4 linked regions of the Drosophila melanogaster genome follow. The gene in region 2 interacts genetically with the main gene of each other region. Each region holds a gene or a part of one and is shown on either strand. Other genes may lie near its edges.

Region 1 (6,764 bases), on a different chromosome or scaffold from region 2:
AAGGGGCGGTCGCCGCCATGGGAGATTGTGGACACACCGGCTCCAGTTGCTCCTCGGGCAGCAGACGGTATTTTTTGAGATACTTGTACGAAGCATTGGATATGTCGTTTGGACTCTGCGCGTGGCCTATGTTGTCGATCGGACGCAGTGGCTCTGGATTAGGGGACTTCGGCGACGCCCCCAGGCGCATATCCTTCATCAACTCATCCACTGGCTGGCGCAAGTATTTCAGCGCCAGCTCGTTCATCACCATGCTCTTCTCGGTGTTGGGCTTGGCCAGTTGAGGGATCCGCTTCGCCTGAGGCGTATTGGCCCGGTAGCCCGTAGATTGGGCGATCGGCGGATGTGGTCGAGGAGACGGAAACTGAGGAATCACTCGTGCTTGTGGCGGCGGCAATGGTTCCTCCTCCTCTGCTATGTAATCCTGCATAATGGGAGACAAGCGTCTACCTGCTAGGAAGGATGTTTTATTGGATTCTTTTCATACAGATTCAACGTACGCACCTTGATTGGTGGTCAGAATATCGCACTGGGTGCCAGTGGTACTGCTGGCTTTTGAAATGGCTTCGGGTTTCGCTCGCTGCTGTTGCTCCAAAATCATCTCGCAGAGATTCCGAAGCTGTTGCTGCTCATGGCGCACGGACTCCACAAGGGATACCAGAGCCGCCAGATCACTCTTATTGGCCAAGTTGCTGACGTCGATGTCGGAATAGACAACCTGGGGCAGTGATTTTCGCGGAGGAGATGGGTTGAAGGGATCGGTCTGTGTGCCAGCACAGATGGTGAGGACATCTGCGTTGGAGGAGCTGGACAAGCGCCTAGATTGATATGCCTGTTGCTTGGGCTCGGCATTATAGCCACCAGCATTGCAGTTCATATGATTGGTAGTCTGCTGCGCATCGCTTGCATAGTTGCGATCCCGGGGCATTACTTGGTATTCCTTCGAGGAGCACGGACTATTGCTGCTGGGAGCGGTGCGAGGACCCAGTTCTGTGGCCAAAATGGGCGAAAAGTTGACCCTGGGCAGCATTTGCTTCTTCCAGGACGCGAAGGTGGGTGCAGCACGAGGGGATGACTCCTGATGTGCATGATTTGGCTGCTGCGGCTGCATCTGCGGATCCTGCGGCGGCTGGCCAAACAATATGGATACCTCCGGCACGGTGGGCCCTATAATCTCATTGGTGTGGCCCATGGGCACTGCTGCACTCGGCCTGGGCGCTAGTCTGGGCAGCATATCCTCCGTTTCGGGAACAAACATTTGGAGCGTATTTGTTTATATTTGCCGATTAAATTAAATTCGAGCGGGAGAATCTGTCCAATTGGAAGTCGATCGACTTAGGGGTGGAACTAGGGCTGACGTAAAACGCCAACTTATCGATACTTTATCGAGTGTACCCTACACTTAGCCAAGTTTCCAAGTGCACGAGTCACCCAGCGGACTGTGTGTCATAGCAAAAGCTGAAATTTCTCGGGGGAAAAATGCCTGTTTTGGAGCACATCAAAGCCATGGCAGAGACTCCGACTCCAGCTGAGAACAGCCCTGCACCGGCAGACGAGAATGCTCCGCCCCAGGCAGTCCGGGAACTGACGCAGACCGACCATCTCAACCGACGCCTTCTCAAATCGCTCCTGGAAAACATGCAGGCCACCGAGGTTCTGGCGCAGGAGAACGGGAACGGCTCCAACGAGGAGGACAACGATTTCGAAGAATAAATCCTTTTATTAGAGTACAGTAAAACTAATGAGCTAAAACGGATCAACAATCGTCAGTTTCGGGCGGGGGTCACCTATATGCGACGGCGCTTGTTGCTCTGCACCGGCGGCGGCGTAGTGGAGGGGCTGATGGACTCGTTGGACATGGAGCCGCGTGTGCGCTTGGCCGGACGCTTGGGCAGCTGCTCCTGGGGCTTGGCGACGGGCTTTTTGTCGCCGTCCTTGGTGGAATTCGTCGGTACCGGCGTTTTGGTTGCAGGTGGAGCTGTAAAACAACATTACAAGTGAATGAATCCTGATGATAACTAACGAACTACCTTTGCCATTGGTCTCTGCTGTTGGAGGGGCCGACTGTGCCTCTGCAGCCTCCTCGTTGGCATGCACTTCCACCGTCTTTTTGGTCTGTAGCGTTCCGTAATCCTGCTCCGGCAGGCTGAACTCGCGCTCCTCGTTGGGAAAGGGCAGCGACTCCAGATCGTCCAGTTCCTTCAGCTTGTACATGGTGCCCAGGTGGCGCCAGATCAGCTCGCTGGGCATTTCACGGTTCAGCGACTTGGACAGACGCTGGACAATGCAGGACATGTAGAAGTGCTTGTTGATGCCCACCGGGCGCAGGCCTTCCATTGCATGGAACAGCTGCAGCTCTTCCTCGGCGGACCACTCGTGGTCGAGGGCGGCCGGTAAGGGGGCCGCCGTTCCGGCCACAGCCAGACCCTTGTCCTTGGCCATCATTTTGCAGAGCGCATGGAACTAAAAACTGATACGTATTGTATGTTTTTCTGCGCGAATATTAGCGATGGTATGCGGGTGCGCTCACGCACCCGAACTATCGCCGCGCGGCACATCACTAGTTTGGGTGTGTATCCACTTTTATTCGTCAACTTTGCTCGATTTTAGCCCGTAGAGTTCGAGATTTAAAAAAAAAAAAAACATATAAGCCGGAGCTGGTAATTAACAAATAGTGTGCAAATATAGTTATGTGTTGTGTGTGCATCCGTCGAAAACTTCACTTTTCCACTATAATCCCTCTGCTAACCACACGGCGCAGTACGCCTTCGTGTGTTTGTGTGTGTGTTCTCCTTCACTATTTCTGCATAAAAAACTAATTTTCGGTGTTCCCAACGAGTTGAGCAGTGTTTTTTGCACACAACTCGGGTTCTCCATGTGCTGGCACAAGTAGCGCCCACCGCCCACCACCACGCCCACTTGGGGTCAGTTAATAACCTTGCACTTGTTCGCGTCAAGGCTTCCAGTTCGGCTGGAAAGTTAATCAGCAATGCGATCGATGAAACCAATGCCTGCGTTCGGTTCTTTACATGTGCCACAAAATAACACATATGTTAATGCGTAGTGTGACTCACTATCTAGCTATCCTAACTTCCCGCCTAGTACTAAACACTGACTAAACTACACCAATCTACCAACTATCTCTGTCTAGAATCGCGAAAATGTACACATATGTTATAGCTTTGTGTCGCCTGTTCGATGTTGTGCCCGTATGGGGAAGCCTGTACAAAGAATGAGATATCTAAACTACATATAACCAACTTGTTATTTCCAGCCAGCCATTAAGATCCATCCAAACCAGTATTCCCAGAATCATACGATAAGATAAGCCAAAGCCAAAGATCAAAGACCAAGCCCTTCGGCGAAGCCACACAAGCACTAGCAACCAAGCACACCACCCCAAATCCACTATCCCGTAATTGCATTTCCCAGTATCCGTAACACTGAGAACCTTTTCAACCATAGGCCTATCCGAGACAGCCATCATGGACGTAATGTCATCATCCCTGCAGCAGCAGCGCGTCGTGGTGGAGCAGCTGCGTCGCGAGGCTGCCATCGACCGCCAGACGATCTCGGAGTCATGCGCTAAGATGATGAAGTACATCACGGAGCACGAGCAGGAGGACTACCTGCTCACCGGGTTCACCAGCCAGAAGGTGAATCCCTTCCGCGAGAAGTCGTCCTGCACCGTTCTCTAAGGAGGCGGTGAGGATGGTCCGCCGTTGCCGAGGAGTCAGCGATCGCCGGCGGACGTTTAGCTTATTTTTAGTTTAGCAAGATGGATTAGGACGCAAACGTGTGTGGAGTACTACCCCAGTACCAGTATCAACGCCACCTGGAACAATATATAGTTGTGCAGAAGCCACAAAAGCTACGATTGTCATAAGCAATATCATTACAAGAAGTTTGAATTCCAATTCTAATTCCAATTGCGAGGAATATATATATATATTTGAATCGATATATCAATGTGTACCAGCCACGTTAACAAGTAATGTCCGAAACCAGAAACACAAACTCAATGTCAAACCTAAATCTATATCTAAATCTAAATCGAAGCATTTGTTCCAAAGATATCAGAGTTGTTTCCTTTCCGATGAGTAACGCAGTTAATGTACACGAATATCCCAACTATAACGACAATTAATGCGCTGACTATAGCACCTACTACTCTACCTAACCCGAAATTCTATATATACAAAACTATCAACTTAATCCGACATACAAATTTATCAATAAACGCAAACTCAGTCGAAACGGAAATACATATGTTATATTTTGCCTTCTTATTTCGAGAAATATCTGTTGTATTTGTTGAAAATTGAGAAGATAACGAACGAGGCGAGTGTAAGAAGGAAAAGTTGTATTGAAAATATAAGTATTTTGAAGCTTATTAACCACCAGCGGGTGGAACGACACCACAAACAACAAATGTACGAAAATATCTTATTGAATTACTTAAAAGCTTTAACACGAAGCAGAAATGCTACCCACAACAACCAGCTAGTTGAACTTATCGCAATATTTAGTGCGTTTATTATCCAGTTTTTCTTAGTCAAAGTATATAACGAACGTTGCAATAAGCGACAAGAGCATATATAATACCAAATAACTTCAAAATGTAATCAATATTTGTCTCTTAGCATAGTTTCTTCATTTTAATTCACTACGGCGTAGCAAGCCGATATCCAATTGAATGATAGCAAAAAGTTTCGCAAGACCAATAACTTATTTCATTCCCGTAACAACACAACCAACACACAGATGTCCTCAGAAACTCGAAAACTGTCCGTTTCTCTAGTTTGGCGAAAATGCCGAGAAGAATGTGTGATTCTTCCTCCTCAAACGCATCCATTCTAATCATATATGTAAACGTGTTGAGCGCAATTAATTAAAGTGTTATTGGCATGAGAGAAAAGTAACCACACAAGCAAGTTATTTTTGTACAAACTAACATGGCATAGGGCACCTTTGTTCGGTATTGGAATGATAGACGCAATGATTATCCTGTAGGGAGAGCACGCGTATGATATCAGCATACACCCACCAAGTCGTACATACACACATATTGCATCCCGAACTTACGATTCTCGTCCCGCTGAGACGAACTGTCCAAGTCGCCAGCTCAGTGTGGATGGGAATGAGGAAGGTATAGTTTATTTGATCGGTTCTTCCAAAATTGCATTTAACAAGAGTTTTTGAATTGGCGGTGATTTTAGTTCCTAACGTAGCAAAATTCAGACAACGTTTACTTAGTACCAAGAATCACACGTTTTTGGAGACGGCATTTTCTATTCGGAAACCTATATAAAAGGTTTTGAGCTCCAGTTTGCTGTCGTGAGCAAACAGCAAAATGTGGTCCAAAGCCGCCATTGCGAAAGGCTTTCATGGGAGCCGCCCTATCAATCGAAACTGCAGTCGGTTACGGGAGTCCTCCCAGTTTCTGCTTAAACATTCCGCATTCAACAGTTTTCGATCCAACGGACACTTTGCATCCAAACTTTTTAGTTATCCCTGAATGTTATTAGCCCGAGGACAGCCGAACCACCCAATGGAGCACGGATGGTTTGGTTTCGTCCTCAGATGTGTCATTTTCTATAACTTATCCATAGAGGGTAAATCGCATTTGGAAAGGAAGGGCATTAGATGCACACGTACTCAAAATCAATCATGGTCATCGAATACACTTTAACACCTTTCACTTCAAATGAAAAGCGACAACGAGATCGTATTTTATTCGAAAATTAATACAACTCTTTTGCGATGCAAACGGGGACGAGTCCTCACAAATATTATTGAAATGTATCTGCGAATAAGCATTTGAAATATTGTACTCAACAAAATGAATAATCGTTTGCTTAAATTTCAAAAATAAAAAGCGATAACTTACTTAGATTCGTTATCTAGCGGTGGCACCGGGTTCGGTGCGAAAACCACGTTGTTTTATTTCAAAGGCCCCCGAAGGATCACGCGTTTCAGTTCAGTTTTCGTAAGTTAAGTTTATTAATACAAGAAACTGTGTGCATGGCTGTGTATGTGGGTGAGTGTGAGAGTGGTTAATGAAATTTATAATTTCCATGGGACTCGTTTATGAAAATACAATGCACTCTTTGTGGGAGCGGGAGAAACTAGTTATAGTAGGGAGTACGAATCACAGAGGAGCCGCTTAACTCTCGTCATCGCTGCCGGCAGCCTGTCGCACCTTGGGACCTCCGGCGCGCTTGGCCATGATGATCTGGTCCACCTTCAAGATGGTTGCGGCCGCGCCAACAGCGTACTTGAGACCCCAGAACTTGGACTGGTACAGATCGAAGAGCTTTGCCTTCGTTGTGTCGATGGTGCTGGCCTTCTCGGCCTCAATGTCGAAGCCGATTGTCTTTCCGGCCTCGTTGTTGTGGGCCAAATACAACTGGTTGACGATTTCCGTGCCATTGATGCCGGAGTTCTCGGCCAGAGCCTTGGGGAAAACTTCCAGCGCATTAGCGAACTTGCGCACGGCGTACTGGTCCAGACCAGGCAGAGTATCAGCATAGGCGGACAGCTGGGTGGCCAACTCGATCTCGGTGGCGCCAGCTCCGGGCAGATAGCGGCCATCCCGGGTCAGGCACTTGAAGTTGTTAATAGCGTCATCCAGGGCACGCTCAATGTCATCCATGAAGTTGTCGGTAGCTCCACGGATCACCACGGTGGCAATGCGCGAGTCCTTGCCCTCGTTCCTGCAATGATTCAATAAGAAATTATAATGGTATTTTCTCTCGCTAATT
Region 2 (5,970 bases):
GGACAAGTTGCCTCCGCGAATTTAATTGTCGAGCATTTCGTGTTTGTTTGCCTCTAAAGTCGTATGGTCAATAACAGATAACGAGCATTGGAAGTATTTACCAATGAATCAGCTCGAATACTTTTGCTGAAATTAAAGCTGCTTAGCATTGCGGGAAAGCGAAGATCCTAAAGTCCTAAGTATTATGTGCCATTTAAGCCATTCTCCTGGCCCATAAAGAAGCCACAAAAGCCATGGCAGTGATTGCAAGAAATACTTGCGGCCCTCGTGCGACCCACAATACGCATACGCCCCGTTGTACGGGCAATCGCCTTTGTGCCACCATTACCAATTACCACCACCAGTGGACATAAACCAGGCCAAACAGGTGAGTCGGTAAGCTGGTGAGCTGGTGAGCTGGCGAACTGGTGAGTTGGTGAGTCGATGAGTGGGGTCTGTGGGCATTTCAATGTCTTATCTTATCAGCTATCGGATTCTATCAGTGTGCCCTGCTTAGCAATCCGAGCAAAAATAAATACGTAAGAAGAGAAAATAGACGGGTGCTGCAGTTCCGCCCAAATGTCCAAGACTCTGGAGCTATGGATCTTTGGAGCTCTGGACTCGGACTACAATAAATTCAGTGCCCCAGCACCCACTTAGTCAATTTATTGCAATTATGTGTAAATTGAGGAACAAAGCGGAGACAGAAGTGAAGAAAGGCTACCTCCGATTCCCCATTCCCCCCATTCGATTCCCAGCGCTGTGGCTCTCACTCCCATTTCAATCATCTGCCAGTCGGTGTATATTCTTTGGCAGATCTGCTCGGCGTGGAAAGATGGGGAGCAGTGGCGAGGCCGAGGGGCAACTGAGTACATTTCAGTTTTGAATTGTATTGCTTTTGCCCATTGAATGACTTCTCAGCTGGAGCTTTTAACTTTCACTTATTCAAAATTGATAGATTTTTTTCGTCTCCGGAAATATTAACCAATTCGCTCGACTTCATTTGGGAAAAAATTGAATTTTTATTCGGATCTACGATCAAATGAAATATTTGACAAAGGCCAAATGCCAAATTAAAGTTAAGCTTCACAAAGTCATAAATAACATGCTGCCACAAGTGTTATTTGCATATTGTTATGTGCAACATTTTATATTAGACACACAAAGTTGTTCAATGCCAATAAATTGGACAATTGTCTTGTGGACACATGTGCTGGGTGTGCGAACAATGCCATCGAATTAACCCATTTATTTAAAGGCTATCCCTGTGGAATACACGTCCTGTCCACCGACAAGGACACTGCATAGCTCGATGGGGCTGCATAAAAGAGGGACGAACTCAACTGAGCACCGCTAAAATATGCACATGATTCACGGACTTGTTTAGGACCGGCACTGCCTTCATTTAAATTCATTCGGGGCGGAGATGGTGAACTGGTGTCCAGCTGAAAGCTGAATGCTGAATGCTGAAAGCTGGGGAAGAAAGCCGAAGTTACACACGTCTCCGGCGCCAAAGGACCTGCTATGCTGCCCTCCACCTCCAGCAGCACATCCTCCTTCGCTCCGATGTCCAAAGTCCAGTGTCCACTGGCCAATGTCCAGTGTGGCCGGGCAAAGACGTCAGCAGTGGGGCGGATGCCGCATCGGTTTCAATTTAATTAAATGTTTTGATGCATGACAGCACTGTGGAGCAGCACTGGACATACGGAACATACGGCACCCCACTCACTTATTACTGATTCGCATTCGTATTCGCTTAAAGATACCCATCCGTTCACGCCTGCCTGAATCTTTAAAGGCCGCCTTTTGGGGCCAACTAATGGCCTCGGATCCCCTCCTGCTCCTCCGCAAGCAATTCGCGCTGAAAGGATTTCGGTTTGCTCAGCTGACCGTCGGCAAAGCTTTTGTGCGGATGCGTTCATTTGGCCGCCAAACAGCCATTTATCCGGATCCAAAGACCCCCGACCACATCCGACAGCCCACATCCCACATCGACATGCCTAAAACCACAGGACTTTGCCTCCTCACTAATCATAGTTGACATTAAATATTTAGAAGCGGAGAAAGTTGTGCCAGCCACTGATTGAGTTAGATGATGTCTGGAATCTCGGAGGAGCAATTAAGTGTGCTGTTTGGCCAGCGGATTCACTTGAAAGCGCTTCACTTCGAATTCGAAGGAAAGCTGGAAATGGACACTTCGAGTGAATTAATTTTCTTCAATTAAAGTGGCAATTATGTCGGGAGTTCACAAGCGAAATACCTTCGAGGTAATGAATGCCTTGATTTGATTGATGATTTATACTTAAATTTCCGATTGATTGCAGGGTGGAGTTCATTTGGCCACAAGTACTTGATTAAATTCAATTAATTAACTGCTCAAACACTTAATCAAGTTTTAACATCTAACGAAGAGATACACTTTCGTTTGCCTTTGGTTTACATTTTTCTTAAATATCAACTGTGTATGAACTCTATAAAATCCAGCCAGGAAGTTTGCATGCATTTAAGGCTTCTATTTACGTTCCCCTTAAAATTAAATGGCTTAAAAAAAAAAACAACCAGCGCTGAAACGCCTTCGACCCCAAAATAAATACATTTGAAACACTTTGCTTATTTGCATTATAAACATCAGAGCTGGGCACATGTGAAAATACCCAAGGGATAAGCCAATGCGCACGGTTTTATTTTATTTTACTTTATTTTATGGCACAGGATGTACGGAATTGGTGCGTTATTTAAAAAGATTATTTCCATTCCGCCGTGGGCCTAAAAAACGCAAATCGCAATCGAATTAATTGTCATTCCAGGAGATTTGCTCTTCCGACCAGATTTCCGAAATCTGAGATCATCGGAGAACCTTTTCATCGGGCAAAGTCAATTGGGTGTGATGGTTTTTGGCCATCGGTTAACTATTTCTCAGCTCACTGGAGTCGTGGAACTCGTTGCTCAAATTGAGTGGAAAATCGGGATGAATGGGAATGGCCTACAGTTTGATCTTTCGAATTGGGTTAGTCACTTGATTAGGCTCTCGATGTAATTACATTTCGAGCTAAAGTTACCAGGGCAGCCGAAAGTTGTCCACAAATAGCAGTTTTCTAATTACTTTGGCGACTCGAATTTCCATAAACTTGTAAACCAATTTCGGTTTGGTTTGTGCAATAAACTTTGCAATTCAAGCCACCACCTCCCGAAAACAATGTTTTTGTAATATGGAAAAACAATAATGAGTGGAAAGAGAATGAAAAAAAAAAAACAAAATACTTTGGGCAGTGGGAGACCGCTTACCAGGAACTATGCTGAAATCCCCACTTCTTCGCTCGGCCAACGCGGCGTATGAGCAATGTCAGCCAATTGCAGGCAGCGAATAACAAAGAAATCGTATTTAAAAATAAATTCCGCTGCTCGCCTTCTGCTGCTCTGTGGTTTCGGTGTTTATGTTTATTAGTTTTAATCAAAACACCAATTTGTATATTCACTTTAACGACTAGTTTATCGTTTTTGCGTGTTTGCTCGCTACGAAATTGAATTTGATTTTCAATCCACTGGGCCGAATTCAATTACGTTTACGGATCGACTGCCGGCGGCATTTCAGCCAGCTCTAAGCTGATTTTCCAGCATTTTTCCAACACTTCTCCGCCAGCTTCAGCTATCACCTATCATCAGCGAATTTCAGGAACCGAGAACCCGGAGAACCGACAAGTCCAAAAAATCCGGACCCGTCGCCTTTTCAGTTCGAACCGTACGCGCGCGAGTCTGCCGTTGAACTGAACGGAAAGCGGAAAACTGAATGCCAGCCGGAATTTTCTGAGGCTGTGCGCGCTGATATGTCGGTGTTATAATAAGGGCCACAAAAAAGTGGGCGGTTTTTTTTTCTGCGGCGGGGGGGGTTCCCGTGGACCTCGGGGACTCCGGCCGCTTGTTGCATATGTTGGGATGTTGCACTGGGGACTAGGGCTCACGTAACCCCTTTGCGTTGAGGGCCTTTTATTTTATCGGAGCAATGAGCAACGTTTCCATTTGAAAAGCGTTGAAATCTGCGACGGAATCGAACGGAAACCCGCCCAAATTCACCAGTGTTGCCGAGTGTTTTCTTTCTACGCCTGCGCCCTATCTTTTCCTCTCGCTCTGCCTTCGTTCGCTCTCTGTTGTCATACGGCTATTCGTAAACAATCCGGACTCCGGCGATTCTGCCACGTGCACGCCACGCACAAGCGGAAAATCAAATGACCAAGATGTCTTACAAAATATACACACATATGCACAATGAATATATCGCTTCCAAAACAGCACTTTCAAAGCGTTTAATACCACATTCAAAGGAAGATGTTTATCAATACACTCGAATAATTTGTTTTAGGTTTAGAATGCATGTTTACAAATTCAATAGGGGTATATCATTGAAATAGATTACACATCTTGATTATCAGTGCAAAGTGATTTGCTATTTTTGCTAAGGTAGCCAAGTCCTAAGGCTAAAATTCCCATTTCCCATTAAAATTCCACTTTCCCAAGTGGAAAGGCTACGAAAAATTTTGGATTAATTTATCAAAATATAGAATGTAATACCTCGTTGAGCTCGTAATTGCATGCCTAATCGATTGGCATTCAAGTTTTGTTGATTTTGAAAAATAAATTTTTGGCCAATTTTAGCAAATTTTAATGATGGTACCCCTTATCAAATTTGCGAAAATTGGTCCAAAAATTAATTTTTCGAAATCAATTAAAAAGTGATTTGGATCGATTGCTTAGGTCACAGGCTCCAAAAAACATGTATAAAACTGACTGTAATTATGATTTTAGCCAAATTATGGGTATAAAACCGCAAATTCTCCTATTTTCCATACAGAATATGTCTCTATTTACATTTTGATAAAACAATTACAATTTTACAATTACCATACATACAAAGAAATTGTTTTCAGTGCAGAGCGTATGTTTGTTAGTTTTGGCCAAATGACTTGGCTCTTTCACACCAGACAGCCGCAGGTGTTGGTGGCTGATCTGGCCAAAAATGCCTAAAGTAAGCAATGAATCCGAAATGCCTCCCCCTCTTCGCCAGATTCGGACGTCTTAATTTGCTGGCGGAGATGGAATCCCGCAACTTCATCCGCTGCACATGCATCAATGTCCCATCAATCACTCCATTTAGTTGTAACAACTGAGCAACGAATGGGTTGCATGTAAAATGAGATGACCTACACCATGGTTTGGCACACATATTCGACTGATCCAAGATGAAACAAGTCAACTTAACTAGCTTAGGTAACTATTTTCCAACGCTTTGAAGGCGATGTCTCATTTAGATTATTTTCTCGTCTTACATTTTGTGGAAGGAGGATACACAGTGAAAGCAGGAGGTCATTAAATTTCTTTATCTCTCGCTGACGTGCAGTCCATTGAACACATCCATAATGATTATGATGGACCAAGTTGAACTTGGTGGCTCGCACCGAGCTGCGAGTCCGAGTGTACGCCTGCAATGGCCAATATCCCGAGCAGCTGGGCATCATTAACTATCTGCAAGGATAACGCTCGTTACCAGTGCCATGCCCTGCTGATGACCCCATTTAATCAACGCTAAGCCCGTCTCGTCCTGCACCTCATCATCATCATCCTTCCCTGCCGCCCCCGCCCCCTCGTTGACCGCCAGAATGATAATTTGTTTGTCAACATTATGCTGGCAAAATGTATATTTGGCTAAATACCAGCCAGCCCCGACAGCATGTGACGAGTGGTTTGATTGATGACCACCGCACGGCCGCTGGAAATTTAATTTTCCTTTTTCCCCAGGCTATCTGGTCGCGTATCCCGCTGTTTTTAAGTGCGTGTCATTCGGCGGTCCTGGGCGGCTGTCGCTGTAAATGTGATGGATAAATTGGAAAAACCAACAGACACCACAGGGTCAGCTGGAATGAGCATCTATTTAGTTGATACGAATCAAAAGAATCATTCAATCTGTTTTCCAAATATCATTACTCATTTGTAAAGCAT
Region 3 (7,759 bases), on a different chromosome or scaffold from region 2:
AAGTGATTTCATTGGTTGACTAACCTTTAATTTTCAAAAAATCGTAATAAATGTTGGGATTAGAGGTAAATAAAGTGCGCAAACTTTTCCTGAAACCAAAAACAATACTCCCAAATAAAAGCTTTAGGCGATCTGTTACTTCATCCCCATATACCCGCCAAACGTACAGAGTGCCTAATAAAAAAGTTTACTTGATTTCCGCTTCCATTTAATTCGATTTGCAGATACAGTCGACCGACGGACAGACATACAGATACAGATAGACAGATGGCGAGACAGATTGCGGCGATGTTTGTGTGTATTGCTAATGGGCAAATTGTCTAATTGGTTCATTACGTGCACAAATGGATTTGCGCCTCTATAATTCGGCCGATTTGAATCCGCCTTGGCTGAAAGGCTAAAAGGCTGAGTAACTGAATAACTGAAAAAGCGAGACCCCTCGAGACATGCGAATGGATTTGAGCCTCAAGCTAGCTGTGCAATTAGCGTTTGGCATCAATTCATATGCGCTTCATACAGCCGTGCATGTGTGTGTGTGTATTGTATGTGCACATCAACGCTTGCCAGTAAATGTCAGCTGCTCATCCCGCCCCCTCCCACAATTTTGCATTGCATTTCGCGTTTGCATTTATTTTCAGCAAATTAACGCCGCTCGCCGCGAGATCTGTGCCAATAAATCATTTGATGACTGCTCCCTGCCGCTTTAGTTTTGCATTTTTTTTTTTCTTTCTGTTTGTTGGGCTTCTGTCTCGTCACAGATATTTGTTTATACTACGCGCGGATTTGGCTTTAATTAAACGGAATGGAATCGAAGAGCAAGAGCTGCCGTTACTCGTCGACGGCCTCCGATTTTGGTTCGGAATGTGATTGTGCAATTAGCGGCACCCTCGCCCGACGACAAGTGTTCGTGATTTAATGTTCTATAGCCTTTGATGTGACAGATGAAAAAGCGTAGAGAAGATAATGGCGCCCTACACAAAGTACAAATAAGGCCACCGATTAGACCGCATGTCCTCCGATATATGGGTGGCATATTTTCCTTTAATGTAGCAGACTTCCAATTCCCAGAGGAAACCAATTGCATTTTAATTTTTTTCCATAATTCTTTTATTTTGTTTTTAATTTTCTTTTCATGAACTTGCTTTAGCACAAACATTTCGTTGTTATTTTCTTAGGTGCATTTGCCAGCTATTAGTTGCTCGTTAACATTTCGCTTAGAAACTAAAATACTCTTTCATAGCAATCCTTAAGTGTGTAAACTAGGAATTAAGCTAGGGAACTGTTAAGTTACTTAATTTACAGAGCGGTTGCAAGCGCGTAATTTATAGGGAGTAATAACTATAGATAGTGTTTTGTGTAGGAATAAACGTCTGAAGGTCGAAGCTTTTGAAGTGCGGCGATAGCGATAGGCTTTGTGTCGGGTGATTACGATAATACTTTCGGCTATCCAGGGGTGGTTAAATAAATACGCCAACAACTTACAGCTCGAATTCGCTACGGATGGGTCTTACTCTAGGTTAGGATTATACGTATATATATATATATTTTTAGAGATATATACAAAAACATATGTACGCTACAATTATATCACATGAAAACCATTTGTACGCCCTCGAATATTGCACGCCCCCGTCAGAAGGAGTAACCCCTTATGGGTAACCATTGGTCAGCGCTTAGGGGATCTGCCCGTTCATGCGCATCTCGAGCTCCTCCTCCTCCTTGGTCAGCGGCACGGTGGTGTGGTTGTACAATCCCTGGGCCATCAGCTGCAGTGCCAGCGGATTTTTGGAGCCCGTCGACTTCTTGATCTTGGCCCGCTTGTTCTGGAACCAGATCTTGATCTGCGCCTCGTTCAGGCCCAACTCGCTGCTCAGCTGCTGGCGTCTCCGCTCGGTCAGATAGCGATTCTCGTTGAACTCCCGCTGTAAGTGGAAGAAATGGAATGCTGGATGAGTTTCGGATGGCAAGGATATCCATGTTGTATAGTCAGGTAGGGAAAATCAATTATTTGCGGTTTCGGCCGAGCGTGGCTGATTGGTTAAGTACGGACGGGACACCACATTGCCAGGATGCATTAGCAGCGGGCGGTGTCAATATTTTGGTGCAAATATGACACAACAAGCGTAGGGCAATTGGATATGGATATGGATGGATATTGGTATAACCATATAACCATATATGGAAAAAAGAACTGAATCTCACCTTAAGGCGGGCCAACTGCTCGCTGGAGAACGCGGTGCGTGGACGCTTCTCGTCGTTGGTCTTGTCCTTTGGCTGTTTGGGGCGGCGGTAGCGGGGTCCTGGAATAAACAAAAACACGAGAAATACGTTAGTTCTATTTGCATAAATGCGCCACATACTATTAATAATATTAATGATTCAATTAGCATATGTCTGGGCGGAATTCCTCGGCCGGAGCTGGAGCTCCCTTTCGCGTGCTGGCGGGGAAGTGTTCAATTTGTCAGCTGTCAGCGCAAGAGAAGAGTAGAACTCCGGCGAGTTAACGAACCCAAAGGTCTACGGCATATTTTAGGCAAATGATTTGCCAGCTAGCCAACTCTCTAATTAGCGACTAAGTCCAAGTCACCGGCTAATTGGCAACGCGGCACCGCAGCAATCCGTAGTGCTTATTAGATTTCCACACATTGTAAATTATAATTTAATTGACCGCCAGTAAGTGGAGATCGTTTGATTAATTCCTAGCCGCGGAGTGGGGCCATCAACGCCTCGCTTATGGGCTGCCATCGATTGCATCGACACCAAATTAAAAAACCATTGCCGACCATAAAAAAGCACTTAACTCGTCAATTAACACACGATCTAAGAAGAGCTGCAAGGAAAATCTCCGCTTGTCAATGGAAAACTCTTCTCCTTTCGAAGGGGCTTCCCCCGCCATCATATCTCCCCCGCACCTACTTTTCCCCTGTCAATCGTCAGCGCGTTTTAGGGTCTCGGCTTCTGCGTGGCGTGTGTGCGTGAGCGGTGACCTTCGACCTGAGGATCTAACAGTTCCGATAGACAAGCGCTGGCTCTGCGCTACATGTTGTCACATAAAGTGTCGCTCTTCAAAAGCAGCGCAGCACTGCGTGAGGCCCAAAATCGGATTCGGATTCGGATACGAAATGGGAATGGGAATGGGCATGGTTATAGAAATGGGAGTCAGATTCGGGCTCATTGCCATTGTCCGCGTGTCGCCTAATTGTGGCAGTGTCCTTCGGATTTATGACACAAAACAGAGCTGCTTGAAAGGCTGCCGCCAACATAACGCTCCCCAAGGGTGGTCCCCATGTAACCATATACCATTTACCATTTTCACATCTTTTTTTTTTTAACGAACCTTTGGGACTTCCTTGTTTTGACAACACTGAAGATGGTGCCCGACGAACCCTCTTTCTGACCCACTTAAACGCTAGGTAATCGCATAGATACTAACCTGAGCTGGGACGATCGCTGTAGCGGGTGCAGTACACCCAGGCGGGCCACATCTCGTTCTTGCCGCCCTCTGTGGTGGTGGATCCCGTCTCGGAACGCGTGTCATCCGAGGACTCCATTCCGGAATCTCGGCTAACGGCGGATGGCGGCGGGATTGGCTGCGGCTGGGGACTGCTGGCATTGACTCCGGATCCACTGGCTCCCAGTCGGCTACTGGGCGAGGAGTTCAAGGAACTGGCCGCCGAGGAGCAACCCGACGAGGAGGAGCTCGAGCTGGTGGCCACGGAAGAGGTGCTGCTAATGGTCGAGGCATTGGAGGCGGGTGGCGGACTGGCCAAGCTGCTGGCACTGCTACTCAGCGGAGGTTGGGTCATCGTAGGGGCAGCAGGTTGTCCGATCTGCGAGACCGCCTTGCACAGGGATCCCAGAGCAGATTTCTCTGGATTGGCATCGCTCATCTTGGAGCTCATGGGCGGCGGGATGACGGCATTGGCTGCACTCCTGCGCAGCCGACTCTGCACGATTTCCTCGTGTATCCTGGGATAGGCAGCCGGATTGAAGCAGTTAAGGAAGTTGGCCCGTTCCAGCATCATGGCCGCAGTAGCGGCTGCGGCGGCAGCCTGCTGTTGCCGGCTAAACTCCAGCAGATCCACTCTTGTAAAGGCGGAGGGCGTGGCAGTCTGGGAACGACTCGCCTCGAAGGGGCGGAATATGCTGGCCTGGTTCTCCATCGACTTGCCCGGCTTCTGGACATCTCCGAAACGATCGCTCAGGATGTTGGAGATGGAAAAGGCCAGCGAGGGCTTGGCCGTCGACTGCTGCTGGTGGGCGGGTGGTGGCAGGCGTCCGCCCGCCGACGTATCATCCACATCCACATCAATGTCGTCATCCTCCTCCGCCTCCTCCTCCTCGTTGGTGGTGTGCGTCTGATTGTGGAAACTCATGTCACCGATCACGGAGTCGCTTTCCTCCTCCTTGATGGTCAGCGGCGTGGACGAGGCGGGCGTGGAGCAGGATGCGGGCGATCCACTGCCACTGAGGCGCTGCTGCAGTGCAGCAGCATGAGCGTGGGCGGCCGCAGCAGCAGCTGCAGCAGCGGCGGCTGCAGCGGCATCGAAGGCCATTGCCGGATGGTGGAAGACACCGGCGGCCAGTTGCTGTTGGTGCAACTGCTGCAGTTGCTGCAGCTGGTGGAGGTGCTGCATTTGCTGCTGCTGTTGCTGCTGCTGCTGTTGCTGGTGGTGAAGATGCTGCATTTGTAGGGTAATGGGGCTGGGCGCTGACTGTGGACTGCAGCGATCCTCCAGGGCCATTGGTTTCGACTTGGTGCTAAATCGCAACTCGCTTAAGACACTTGTCACTGGGTCACTTGACACTGAGCCACTGATTCTTCTGATTGCTCAGAATCTTCTGATTCTCTTCTCTGTTTGGTGTTTTTTGTTTGGCTTATGCTTTCGTGTTTGATTTGCAACTGTTGTTCCGACACGCACGTCTGTTCACATCGAGCGCAACGACTGAATTAGTTGACTACTTCGGAATCGCAGCGCCGACGTCGGGGAGAGTTAACGCGAGAGCCGATTGAACTGTCACGGTGGAAAGAGAGGTCCGAGTGCGGGAGCGAGAGGGCGAGATCCCACAAGTAGCTGGCGAAGTGTGTGCGAGCGAGCGAGTGAGTGAGTGACAGCAGTTGGTGACAGTGACATGAAGAGATGAGAGTAGAAGATGTGTCTTTTCGGCCTTACACTGATCGATTTTCGCTCTCTCTTAGCCTTGTCACCTGCCCCATGCGAACCGGTTTCGCCGGCTCACTCACTCCTATTAGCTGGCCAGAGCGCTCTCTCGCTCGCTCCCTCTCGCTCTCACTCTCTCTTGCCAATTTGGCGAGGGGGGCTTGTTAGGCAGCAATATGACTTTATTATGCGCATGCTGGAGCTGTCAGCCGGTTGACAACTGTGTCCCCAGCGAACTGCGCAGGCGCAAGCTCTCCCTCTCTCACGGGGCGTTACCGAGTGGGGGTCATATAGCGGCACTGTTCACTCCCTCTGCGAGTAGGCCAGGAAAATGGCTGCCTTTCCATGAGGGGGAGAGCCACATGCCATCTCTTTCCACAGACACTTTTCATAAGCATTTAGTTTTTGTTGATTTTGTTTTCGGCCGCGACGTTTCAATCTGCGTTTTCTACAGCCTACAACTTTATCGACACCACCTTTAGGCCATGTGTAGAGGGGGAATCGAAAGAGAGGAAAAAAACCGCAAAGCTAATTGTTTTAATTTAAATGAAGGGAAACTTTTTATCACCCCCACTCCCACCACCAGTATCATTTGCGATTTTTCACAAAAATACGCTAAATACACGATGACAATTTATTTTTGAGGCCTTCAATTAACCAGTTAAATGTGCCTTGAAAAACAGCTGACGAAATTGATTGATATTTAATTGACATTTAATTTATTTATTTGCCCATCGAATATCGATTTGCCAGACGAGCGAATGAAAAACCATCGCTAACTGTCAAAATAAACCTTAGAAGGTGTTAAAAACGAACGCCATTTGGCATTGGACATTAACAATAACGCTTTTTTGTGGGGCTCTAATCAACCGACGATCTACAAATGTGAAACATGTGCTGCAAATAGTGTATAGATGTGGGATTCCGAACATATAACCACTGATATATAGCTCATAAATCAACGAATCTGTTCGATGTGAATAAAACCGAAATCAAATAACGAAATCGCTAATGAATTGCCTTATAGCTAGCAGATTTTGTTGTGTTAATTTTTGCATAATAAAAGCGATCGTTGCCATGTGGGCTACTGATTTATGGGGCAAAGGATTTAATTAGAGAGTAATCTCGCCACCACTCACACTCCCACATTTCCTGTTGCCAATTGTGACATAAGCAATTCGCGCCAACAAACTAACGCCCAAACAATAAGCCATAATCCATATTTAGAGCAAATTTCGTGGTTAACCTGTTCCACAATCAATGGGCCGAAATTTATTCAATTTTTATGCGCATTTTTATAAGTATCAAATGGACTTGAATCGAATATAAATTAATAAATATATTTGAACAGCTCAGATGCATAAATTGAAATTCCGTTGAGTGGTCTTAACCGTTTCGATTCGATCTTAACCGGTTCGAACGCACCTTCCAGTCTGCGGTCAGCCATTAAAAGTCGAAGTTGGAAAAACTGGAAACTGGAACGGAGCCAAATCTATTTCCCCTTTTGAATTTCGAACTTCGAATAGATAGTTGTCTCACTCGCTCTCGCACTGTGCGCTTCTCGCTCACTCTGCCCTGCTCTCTCACGCATGACAACAATGGCTGCTGCCTCTCTCTCGCACACCCCCTTTGACCATCTTCCTCTTACACATTCCGCTGTTGCCGTCGGCAGCTGTTGATTTTCCGCTCAACTTCCACCCTTCCACACCGTTCCATTCCCCTACACACTTTCCGCTTTGATTGCCATGATTTTCAATTATTACCGTTGTCGTGTTTGCTCAGCATTTGGCCACGAAAAGGGTTAAACTGCTGCCGACAGTTGCGTAAAAATGCGTTAATTAAAGTTTTCAACTTGTTTCTGATGCTGCTGCTGTGGTTGCTATTGTTGCTGTGGCTGCTTTTGCTGCTTTCCCGTTTGCCCTTAATGATAATGATGCGTCTGTTTGGATAAAATGGTAACTGCTAATGAGCTTTGGCTTTCCACCACTTCGGCTACTGTTTCTGTTTCTATTTCTGTTTCGGTTACTTTTCGATCTCTAATGGCTTTTTCTCAGCTTCGTAGCTGCCGGCCAAACAAAAGACTCAAACAACGAACTTGTCAGGGTGCCAAAACATACCAAAGAAACACATTACGCTGCATGAAAATTTTCATTTTAATGTCGGTAGATTTATATGTGCGATCATATCAACGGAATTCAAATGATGAGAATATAAGATAACGTTGTTAGAGTCAAAAATGAATAGTAACACATAGAATATTAAAACGTGAATGGTTAGGAAATATATTAAAAACTACAACCTCAAAAAGACAATATAAACTATTTAAGATTTTGGTTATGAATTTAAATTATCCAATTACCTCAAAATTGCTGGGCAATAACAATGCCAATTGCATAAGGGACGTAATCACAGGATACAACTCAATTGTCGCACTGTGATTGAAATTAAAACTGGATCGAAAACTGGTAAAATTAAATGCACGCCCTGTTGGGCCCCAACTCAAGATTGCCCCTCCTCATCAAAAGCGTATTTTCTCTTCGGCTCAACAACCGAAACTGGAAATGGGAACTGAAGCGGGAAACTGAATCTGTGACTGG
Region 4 (9,009 bases), on a different chromosome or scaffold from region 2:
TGATTAGTCTCATAAATACTAAAGCTACCAAAATACATTCTCCATCACTTCCGGTCCTGGACCAGCTGTATTAATTGCTCCAGCTTGTACTCGATCAGCTTCAGTCGACTGTCGTTGATCTGTTCCTGTTTCCGCCTCTGCTCCGCCGCGTTCTTCTGATCGATTACCTCGAGGGCCCGTTTGACCACCCGGCCGCTCATCTGGGAGCACTTTCCGGTGAGCAGGGAACAGCAGCAGGGCAGAAGTCTAAGCGGTGGATCCAACAGCTTCTTCTGGGGCACTGCAGCACTCAGGGGCAATTGCTGAAAGCTAGCCTTCTTAAGGGTCCTCATTTCGAAGGGATCGCTCATTGGAATAAGCACTTTGTTTCCATCGTTCGGCAGCACGGAAATCTGACGCAGACTTAAGTAGTTCGGGTAGATGTTCATCAAACGTTGGCAGATGCTGCGGAAGAGATGGTTGCCCAACAAAAACCCAGCGCGTCCGTGGCCAGTGAGAACCTGCTCGTACCGACTAAGGACGTTGGTTCTGCAAATGGCTCCGTTCAGTTCCGCCTGAGCCTTAATAACCTAGATAATGAATAACGCCGGAAATGGGATTAGCGAAGGGAAATAATACGAATGGCGATAGACCTACTTGGGTGTCGCTCACTGCAAGACCGTTCAAAAGGTTGAACAGCACTATCGTCATAAAGATCACGAAGAGCAGGAAAATCAGGTAGGTGTAGATGCTGGTAAACTGGATGCTTCCGGCGTCAAACTCGCCTGTCAGCATCACAATGGTCTTGATCACGGCCTCGATAGGCTTGGTAAATGTGTTGAAGCCCTGTTCCTCGTCCTTCCCCTCCTTCTTCCCCAGAGGTGGACATGGCGTAGCGCTTTTAGACTGGTCTTCCTCCACTGACTTGCCGAAGAGGATATAGAAACACAGGCTGAAGGTGAGCACGAAGATCGAGTAGAGGGTAAAGCTCTTTAAGAAGCTGTTTGACACCTCTCGCAGCATCAGCATGTGCGTCGAAATTGAGAGCACTGGCAGGGAGCCCACTAGTAAACAAAACTCCATGGAGACGAGTAGGATGGTAAATACGGCTAAGACGCGCTGCGTCTCCTTGTCGAAGCTGGATTCCATGCAGGTAAAGATAGATAGTGTAATAAGAGCCACCTCCATAATATTCGTTATAGACCAAAAGTACCGAACTGGAGACATTATCCACTGGATGCACTCCCGTAATATAAGGTAGCTGATTCCCAGCCAGGAAAGCAATCCGAAAAATGCAGTAAGAGCCCTTTGATCGCTTTCGTGGAACTTGAGGAGCGTGTAGGTAATTATGGAGGCGGTAAAAAGCGAGTATATCAGGAAGTTCAGGTAGAATATCACGGAAAGTCGGTGCCACTTGAGGAATAGAAAGCTCGAGATCAGCGGGTGCTGGAGCAGGTGGCGCATCTCCTTCGACTCGGCGATGAATGCGATCGGGGCCATTTCGTCTTGCAGCTGGTTGAGTCCGGAGTCTCTCTCCTGGCGCATTAGGTTCTTATAATCGATGATGATCTCAAAGTTCTGGTCACCAGGCCTCTCTCCGTTTGTGGTGATACACGAGTCGAAGTGCTCTTCGAGAACCTCGGGTGGCATGTCCTTGATGGGTAGTGTGCCAAATGCGCTCTTAGAACCAATGTAGGCACCGTTCTTCAGGAGTTTTTGCATCGCACTCGTGTTGCGGTACTTAACAGCGAAGAACAGAGGCACCAGGCGTCCGGAATCAGCTTCGTTGATGTCTACGCGATCGCTGTTAATGAGCAATTCAAAGCAGCGCTGGTGGCTGGAGCCATCATACGGTGGCTCATCCAGACGGCCGATTACTGCATTTAGTAGCTTGGAGTCTGGAGTAAGTCGCAGGTTTGGCTCCTTAAGCAGTCGCTCCAACGCCTGCCAGTTACCGTATATCACGGCCGTCTCTACGAGATTGGCCTCGTTGGCCCTGCCTGGTCTCGAGTTGATATCCATGCCAGTGGACAAAATGACATCGAAGGCTCGCTGCCTGCCCCTCTTGATGCTCTCCTGCAGCAGTCCGAAGTATTCCTCCTGGTGGGCATTTAGTTGGTTATCCGCTCCGCCTTTGAGATTCTGCAAGTACTCAGCGAACTGCTGCTCAAACAGTGTTTCGTCCCCGTCCCGTAGAGTCCTTTGAAGAGTTTGGATGTCAATCTCCGGCCCGGTATGACGCTCTTCCGGCAGCTTAAGCTCCGGAAATTGCGCCTGCAGCAGTCTGCGCACCTCCCCGTTTCGGTAACTATCGATATCCAGCTCCGGATGGTCCAGAAAGAGCTGAATCAGTTCCTTCTTCCCAGCCTTCACCTTGCTCTTTCTCAGCACATGGTGCAAGGGTGTGAACTCGCCCTGGTCTACGATATTCGGCGAGGCGCCGTAGTCCAGCAAGAGTTGCATGCAGGAGTACACGTCTGGGGCATTTTCATCCGTGAGATTCTTGGCAAGTGAGTTAAGTGGAGTAAGCTGCCCATATTTTCTATCAACCTGGACTTTGTTTCCGGGGCGGTACTTAAGGAGAGCCGCCAGGTTTCCTGGATCCCTAGAGTCAGCCGCATAGCTGATTGCGGCCTTGTCCAGCTTCTTGTTGATCTGTGAAGATGAACTGTGGTTAGATGGTGTCCGACCTCTACTCCTTGTTGCTCTACTCACGTAGTTCACCTGGCTGCCGTGGTCGATGCAGGCTTCAATGAAGTCACGACAACCTGGTGTTGAGAGTGCCTTCTCGTAGATACTGGTATGGCGGTCGTCTTGTAGATCGGCCAGGGCACCGCTGTCCAGGGCAGCAACGAACTGTCGGATGTCCTGCTTGGCCAAAGCTCCAGCTAGCTGGGCCTGCGGATCAATGAAGCCGCAGTTGTTAAAGTCCATTGGTTTGGTCTGCAAAGAAAGAGCAGCCACGGATCGGATGAGCAATGTCTATGTGGGCTGGACTTCAGGTAATTCGCGTCGAATGAGTAACGTAAGCTGAAAATGAAGCAAGAACCCGCATTGCTCACTCAGGCCACTTTGTGACCCCACTAGACCTTAGGGCCTTGGAAGTCAAAAACAATAGGTTGGAATTGGAAGCTCTCGAAAAACGGCATTTGACATCGCTTCATGCTACGATGGTTTTCACATGGAGTGGACATGAGGCTGGAACGGAGCGAGAGAAAAAAGCTGCCCTACAGGTTTCTTCACAGCCAAATCTCCGTTTTGGGGGCAATTAAAGAAAGCGTCTTAAGTGGTTTCTGTGGTACCGAATTCGGTCTTAATTTGCTCCTCCGTGTAGTTATTAAATTATTACAATCCATGCGAAGACAAGACAAGGTCGGCGGTGGACGTGGGTACTGGAGCCCCCAGTACCAGCAGTGGCGGCGGTCGGAGTGATCCACTAAATTTGAATCAGGTTTGGTGCGGGTATCAACGTCTAACGATCATAAAGAATAATCATAAAATAATCGACACATCAGTATCAATTAGCAATCAATTTGTTGCGCTTTACGCTTTGATAACTCTTCTAGATGGGGCTCGAATGGAGCCTGGGGGCGACTCAGGCAATGGGGGCGCCGAAATTGTGAGATTTATAGGCGGCTTTGTTCGTAAATTTCAAGGCGGCTTCTTCTGGGGGATTCTCGTTTCCACAGTGATACTGACCGCTGTGATACTTGAAATGTGTGAGAAATCTGCTAATCACACTCAAGACCTGGCTAATTTGAATACGCCACTTCTGATTATTTATCAACAGCCGAAGAATTGGTATTCAGGAAACATATACCCGACCCATCCGTTGAAAACGGCTAATCAGTCCAAGTTTTTTGGCTTGGCAAAAAATTGGGTTTTGTAAATGACCCCCCCCAGGTGGGAAGGTCGGCCTGATAAGATAAACAGAATCGCACAATCATCTTCTCTAATTGGCTTACTGTTTGGCCCCTCTGTTTGTGTTGCGTATTTGGCCACTAGGCTATTTGTAAAACCAATTGACAAACAACTTTATTGTTTGCCCTGCTCAGGCCCAAAGTCTTAGGCGACAGTTGACAGAATGGCGTAATCAAACTTAGCAGAACCGCCATTCAGAAAGAGCCGAGTGAACCGGGGGACCGATGTCCCCGGGATGTGGAATGCACTTAGAGACTGCCAAAAGAAAACCCGTCGATCAGGTTTGCACAGGAAAAACAACAAGCAAGCAAAGACTAACATTTAACGGAAGAAGTGCACAGCTCTTAGCAAAAATGTTAAAATGGTATAAATGAAAAATACCATATTGGGTTCATACAACTCAATATATAACTCAATACAACACAATAGAATAGAGAAGTTACAGAGCTTCAGCTTACAATTGACATGCCAGTCAAATATTAGTCGAGAATATATTCTGATTTTCACAAGAGGGTAGATAAACTTCGGCTCGCCGATAACATTCTTTCTCGCTTTCTCTTCTGCCTGTCACTTAATCCAAATTAAACCCAACAAGAGGGGATCGGAGGGATAGTCTGGAAAATGTCGGAAAGAAGGGAGTTCGCGACACCGACAGCTGGATATGCAACAGCGCAGATAATTATAGTCGCTTCGGATTCAAACAAATATCTGAGGAATATTAAAATCGCGTGTTCCTTGTTTATCATGTTGTATACGTACGTGCCAGAACGAATGGAGTGCCAACATTTCGGCTATATAGTGACCTTATAGATTTTCATGGAGTGGGCGATTTTGAAATACAATAAACTAATTTACTTGTCCATAAAGTCCGTTTATTGGCAACGAAAGACTTTGTTCGCTAAATTTAATGCTCTCTCTGCACTTAATGAATAACAGACGATCGTTCGGCTGTGTTTACACTTGAATTGGAGGCTGGAAAAACAAGGGAAATAGCCAGAAACACAAATTCTTTGAAAATGCTTAGGAGTGGCAGAAAAACAGCGATCGTGATTGGGGACAACAGTCCACAACTGAAGTTTTTTTTTGTGTAATCAACTTTGCAAAGCTCAGCCCGAAATTGTCATCGTAAAAAAGTCATAATTAAGATGGATGCGTGCGGAGATGGGTCTGCAGATGTGGATATAGATGTGGATGGGGGCTGACTTCATGGTGAAGTGAGCTTGTGAAGCATCCGCGAAAAAACAACAGCGCCAGAATTTAGTTGTATTCGGAAAAAATGTTTAAGCGAACAGCCCACAGACACATGAGCAATAGCGAAAACACGAAAGTGGATACCCCTGCCACATGGAGATCAGTGCTCTATATACCCACTGTGCACTTCATAAACAATTGACTGGCCCACATCGTGTGCACAACAAAAGATTTGGGAGGGGTGTCCGGAGTGGGGAGACAGAGTCTCCGCTCCGCACGATTCAGTAATTTCAAATAATTTAATTAAACACACTCGGACGTACGTAGTACATGTGTGAGATCAACTCAGAAACACACACGAAAGCTAATTCGTGTGCTAGATGGACGGATTCCTGAACCGAAGGAATCACCACCTACCAATCGGTCCAAGCAACTCAAGCCCCTCTGCGCCCACGCCCCTGTGTCCCACGAACAGTAGAAAACGAATACAAAAATTAGATGGGCGGAGCCAAATCAGCGAGCGAATGAATTCAGCCGCACGGTTTTTGCAGTCGTAAGTAGGCTGGAGCGCGGGCTCCAGAGGAGGGTCCTAACATGCCGCATAACGCCTAATCGATGGATTACTTAATTGTAATTGGCAATAAAAAACGCATATTAAGCGCTTCTGGAGGGGAACGGAAGCCCTGTACGCCTAAATTCGATGCAAATGTCTGTGCTTGGGGGAAACTGTCGCCAACCCAGTTCCGAGTTGGGTAAACATGGGCCTCTATCGGCTCGTCTTACACGACATTTTCTAAACTCGCCGGGTCAGCAATAAAACTATACGTTTAATTCGTATTTGGGAATGGTATCACAATCCGAGCACTTCACAGAAAAGTGGACACGGCGGGAGTTGCCTTTTAGGGCATATTCATTATCTGCCCACCAGGCATTTTAAAATAGTTTTTTTAAAAACTTCGATGACGTCACAGGTCGCATATATGTAGATTTCAAATTAATCATTTGTCAAATGCAATTCAATCAATTTATTAGCTGTTCTGGCGTCATTAAAACAAAGCTTTTTTTTAAATTTTTTTTCGATTGCGCCGTGGGCGCCGTTTTCTGCAGTTTCTTAACCTTGCTTCGTTAAATGTTTTAAAACTTGTTTTCACTGCTTATGTTTTTGTTGTGTGGGTTGATGTCGAGATCACTTTGCAACTGCGGTTTCAGATCTGCATTACACATGATTCATTCGCAGTAACTAATAAAACGTCTTAACTTCCCCGCGAGTCATCGTCTTTAAGTAAAGGTTTGGCGCAACCCCGGTCTTATTTGCATAGTGAATGAGATGACTCATTGACCCATTGAGATCTTCCTCGGGCTTTCAAAAACTGTTTTCAAAACACTTCTCAGCGCCGAAGCAAATAACGCATGACACTAATGCGCGATCACTACCTTCCTCGTTAATATCCAGACAACGACTAATCTGATCCGTGAAAGCGACCGCAGTGGCGGGCACTTTACAGAAATTTAAATTTAACAGAAAGCTAACAGGGGCCACACAGAGCCTGCATATCGATCGATAACTCTTTTGTCTCGTGAGCTTAGAATTTGAATGGCAGATATATGGGCACACTTGTGGAGACTCTCCGGGCGCATTAAAAAATAATGGTAAATTTTTCGCAGTTAAATGTGTGCCGAATAGCCAACTAATAACAAACGGCTACAAGTGATTTAAGATACTAAATATTCTATTCATTCCACTACATCTGTCGGCAATGGAACATCATCCTTAATTTGGTACAAAACCGATTCAGATCTGTAGAGTTTGGGACTCGAGTTGGATTCCTCGTCTCATCTGTATTTTTACAAATTTGTATAACTTCAAGATAGTGCTAATAAAAATAACCTATACAACAGTAACTCACAGTAACAGTAAATTGAAATCAAATAGCCTAATGTTTAAAAATTTTTATTATCAACGACTTGCAATAACAAGTTTACGTATACAAAACACCTGAATATTTTTAACAAGATTTTCTTACAAACCCTTTCAAAGGCACATGAAATAAAAGGTACAAAATGTTAAAAAAGCAACTGAAGAAGAATGTTATGTACTAGAATGGAATACGCTTCTAAATAGGTCAACTACTCTCAGTTTTTGGGAAACCCAATATAGAAGGCCTGAAATTATCATCGTTTTGCAAATACGGTCCAGGACATACATGCTGGAAAACAAGAGCATTGGTTAAACACTATAGATGGAAATAACAAATTACTTACAATCTCAATTGTATGCGTGATTTCGGCAACGAAGTTAAAGGTTCCTTCATCACATACTGACGGCCACCCAAAATACTGACTTTCATGTACTCATAATCGTCGACATCGTCGGTGTTAATCTTAAATCTGTCGTAAATAAAGTTACGTTATAAATCCATTTAATGCATGAATTCATCTATTGAATGCATATGATATATATTGCTTACATCCTCCGATCTGTGGATCCTAATTCCTTGTAGATCTGCTCGAAGTGTGTGGATTTAAAGTCCCAGCTTCGCGTGGTAAAGAACTGCAAAACTTCCAAACCCACAGCGATTTTGGTTTGAACCCGAATCATGCTAGACAAACAGAAAAGTTTTGGGTTAGATTCTTATTCGGAACTGACAAATTCTTTTGAAGGTTTTACAAGCGACGTTGTCCAAAGATCAGGAGTAGGAAGTCGATAAGGTAGGCTGGCAGCCACATAAACAGAATGGTACAGATGGTGTGATAGAATTTGCTGGACGTCATGTTGCCGTCGGGATACCAGAGTCCCACTTCGAAGGGGTACTTAATGCCCAAGTCGCGACCCACATCCATTATCCATTTCCATGTGCGCTTTTTGGCATCGTCCACGGTCAAGTTGTAGACTGGGATCTGAAGAGGTCTGTGGCAGAAGTTATACATCACATTGACATGGGAGGCGTCTGAAAAATTTACCTCTTCTCCGCAAGACTGTTATGATATGGTAATAAGATAAGACCGTTAATGGCGATGTCCACAGGTATCACTTCAGATTTTAGCTCCCCGTTGCAGATCATGGATCGGATAACTCCTTTGCCGGCGCCAATGAGAACTCCCGTAGGTCCGTTCATATTGTCCACCCAACCTGGCAGAGGCTCAGCGACAGCTGGAGTTACTGGAGAACAAAGTACAGGTCAGTATGGTTAGACACAAAGTCTGCTTTAGTGACTGGATTGGGAAAGAGAAACACGGCGCAGTTGGCGAAATGTGTATATTCAACAACCTACAATCATATTTATTTGGATTCAAAACCTCGAATATGCGTAACTACAACTAAGCTAATTGACTAAATAAATGCCTGTGACCACCAAACCAATGCAAGTCCACGGAGAACTAGAATCAGAATATAGCCAGCACCCCCGTCCACTTAAGGAGGTAGTAGAAGAACAGTCCCACAATCACCGTCTTGCACACAACGTCTACGACTCGTTGGCTGGAAGTGAAGATGAGTGAGTCATAGTGGGTAGCACAGGCTCTTGCCTAACTTACATCTTCATGTGCACGCGCGCAGTGGGCAGATCCTCCTCCTTTTCCTTGAGGATAAACTTTCGAGCGCCCTTAGCACACTCAATCATGTACTCCTCCTCGGTGTTCTCCGTGTTCATGTTCATGTTAAAACTGAATGGGAAATTGATATTGATATGTTAATATGTTAATATTCAATAGCAGCACTTACATCGCCTTGTCTTCCTCGTTGAGTTTGTTCCAGAGGGAGGCGTAGTTATCAGATCGGAAGCACCAGGCATTGAGGGTAAAGAACTGGAGGACGCCCAGACCTGTGGATATCTTCTCCTGAACTCTCAACATGCTAGGGAGGGAAATGGCACATAAGCTCCATTTGGGGTAATTCAGTGCGGGGCAACTTACAATCGC

Evidence for each region.
Region 1: of TkR99D (region 2) and Ggamma1, changing one suppresses a phenotype caused by changing the other (phenotypic suppression), as found in Drosophila melanogaster (one study listed by BioGRID).
Region 3: of TkR99D (region 2) and en, changing one suppresses a phenotype caused by changing the other (phenotypic suppression), as found in Drosophila melanogaster (one study listed by BioGRID).
Region 4: of TkR99D (region 2) and pain, changing one suppresses a phenotype caused by changing the other (phenotypic suppression), as found in Drosophila melanogaster (one study listed by BioGRID).

The regions. Positions count from the first base shown.
Region 1 is NT_033778.4:8,898,863-8,905,626, forward strand, and holds Ggamma1 (G protein gamma subunit 1), read left to right. Parts: upstream 1-2,570; 5' UTR 2,571-2,660; intron 2,661-3,274; exon of another isoform or gene 3,275-3,465; 5' UTR 3,466-3,485; coding exon 3,486-3,698; 3' UTR 3,699-5,929; downstream 5,930-6,764. Other genes in the region: ana2 (anastral spindle 2), read right to left, coding at 1-453, 505-1,258; CG13751 (uncharacterized protein), read left to right, coding at 1,480-1,713; MrgBP (MRG/MORF4L binding protein), read right to left, coding at 1,788-1,978, 2,031-2,445; CCT8 (chaperonin containing TCP1 subunit 8), read right to left, coding at 6,167-6,716. UniProt on the Drosophila melanogaster protein: Guanine nucleotide-binding proteins (G proteins) are involved as a modulator or transducer in various transmembrane signaling systems.
Region 2 is NT_033777.3:29,965,719-29,971,688, forward strand, and holds the start of TkR99D (Tachykinin-like receptor at 99D), read right to left. Parts: upstream 3,730-5,970; 5' UTR 3,265-3,729; intron 1-3,264. UniProt on the Drosophila melanogaster protein: Receptor for tachykinin-like peptides.
Region 3 is NT_033778.4:11,522,926-11,530,684, forward strand, and holds en (engrailed), read right to left. Parts: upstream 5,286-7,759; 5' UTR 4,746-5,285; coding exon 3,434-4,745; intron 2,301-3,433; coding exon 2,203-2,300; intron 1,923-2,202; coding exon 1,674-1,922; 3' UTR 1,081-1,673; downstream 1-1,080. UniProt on the Drosophila melanogaster protein: This protein specifies the body segmentation pattern. It is required for the development of the central nervous system. Transcriptional regulator that represses activated promoters. Wg signaling operates by inactivating the SGG repression of EN autoactivation.
Region 4 is NT_033778.4:24,921,720-24,930,728, forward strand, and holds the start of pain (painless), read right to left. Parts: upstream 6,557-9,009; 5' UTR 6,526-6,556; intron 2,923-6,525; 5' UTR 2,914-2,922; coding exon 2,695-2,913; intron 2,635-2,694; coding exon 637-2,634; intron 570-636; coding exon 45-569; 3' UTR 1-44. Other genes in the region: CG30427 (uncharacterized protein), read right to left, coding at 7,181-7,298, 7,354-7,479, 7,560-7,691, 7,760-7,999, 8,053-8,251. UniProt on the Drosophila melanogaster protein: Receptor-activated non-selective cation channel involved in detection of pain sensation due to high temperature. Involved in heat nociception by being activated by noxious temperature of 38 degrees Celsius.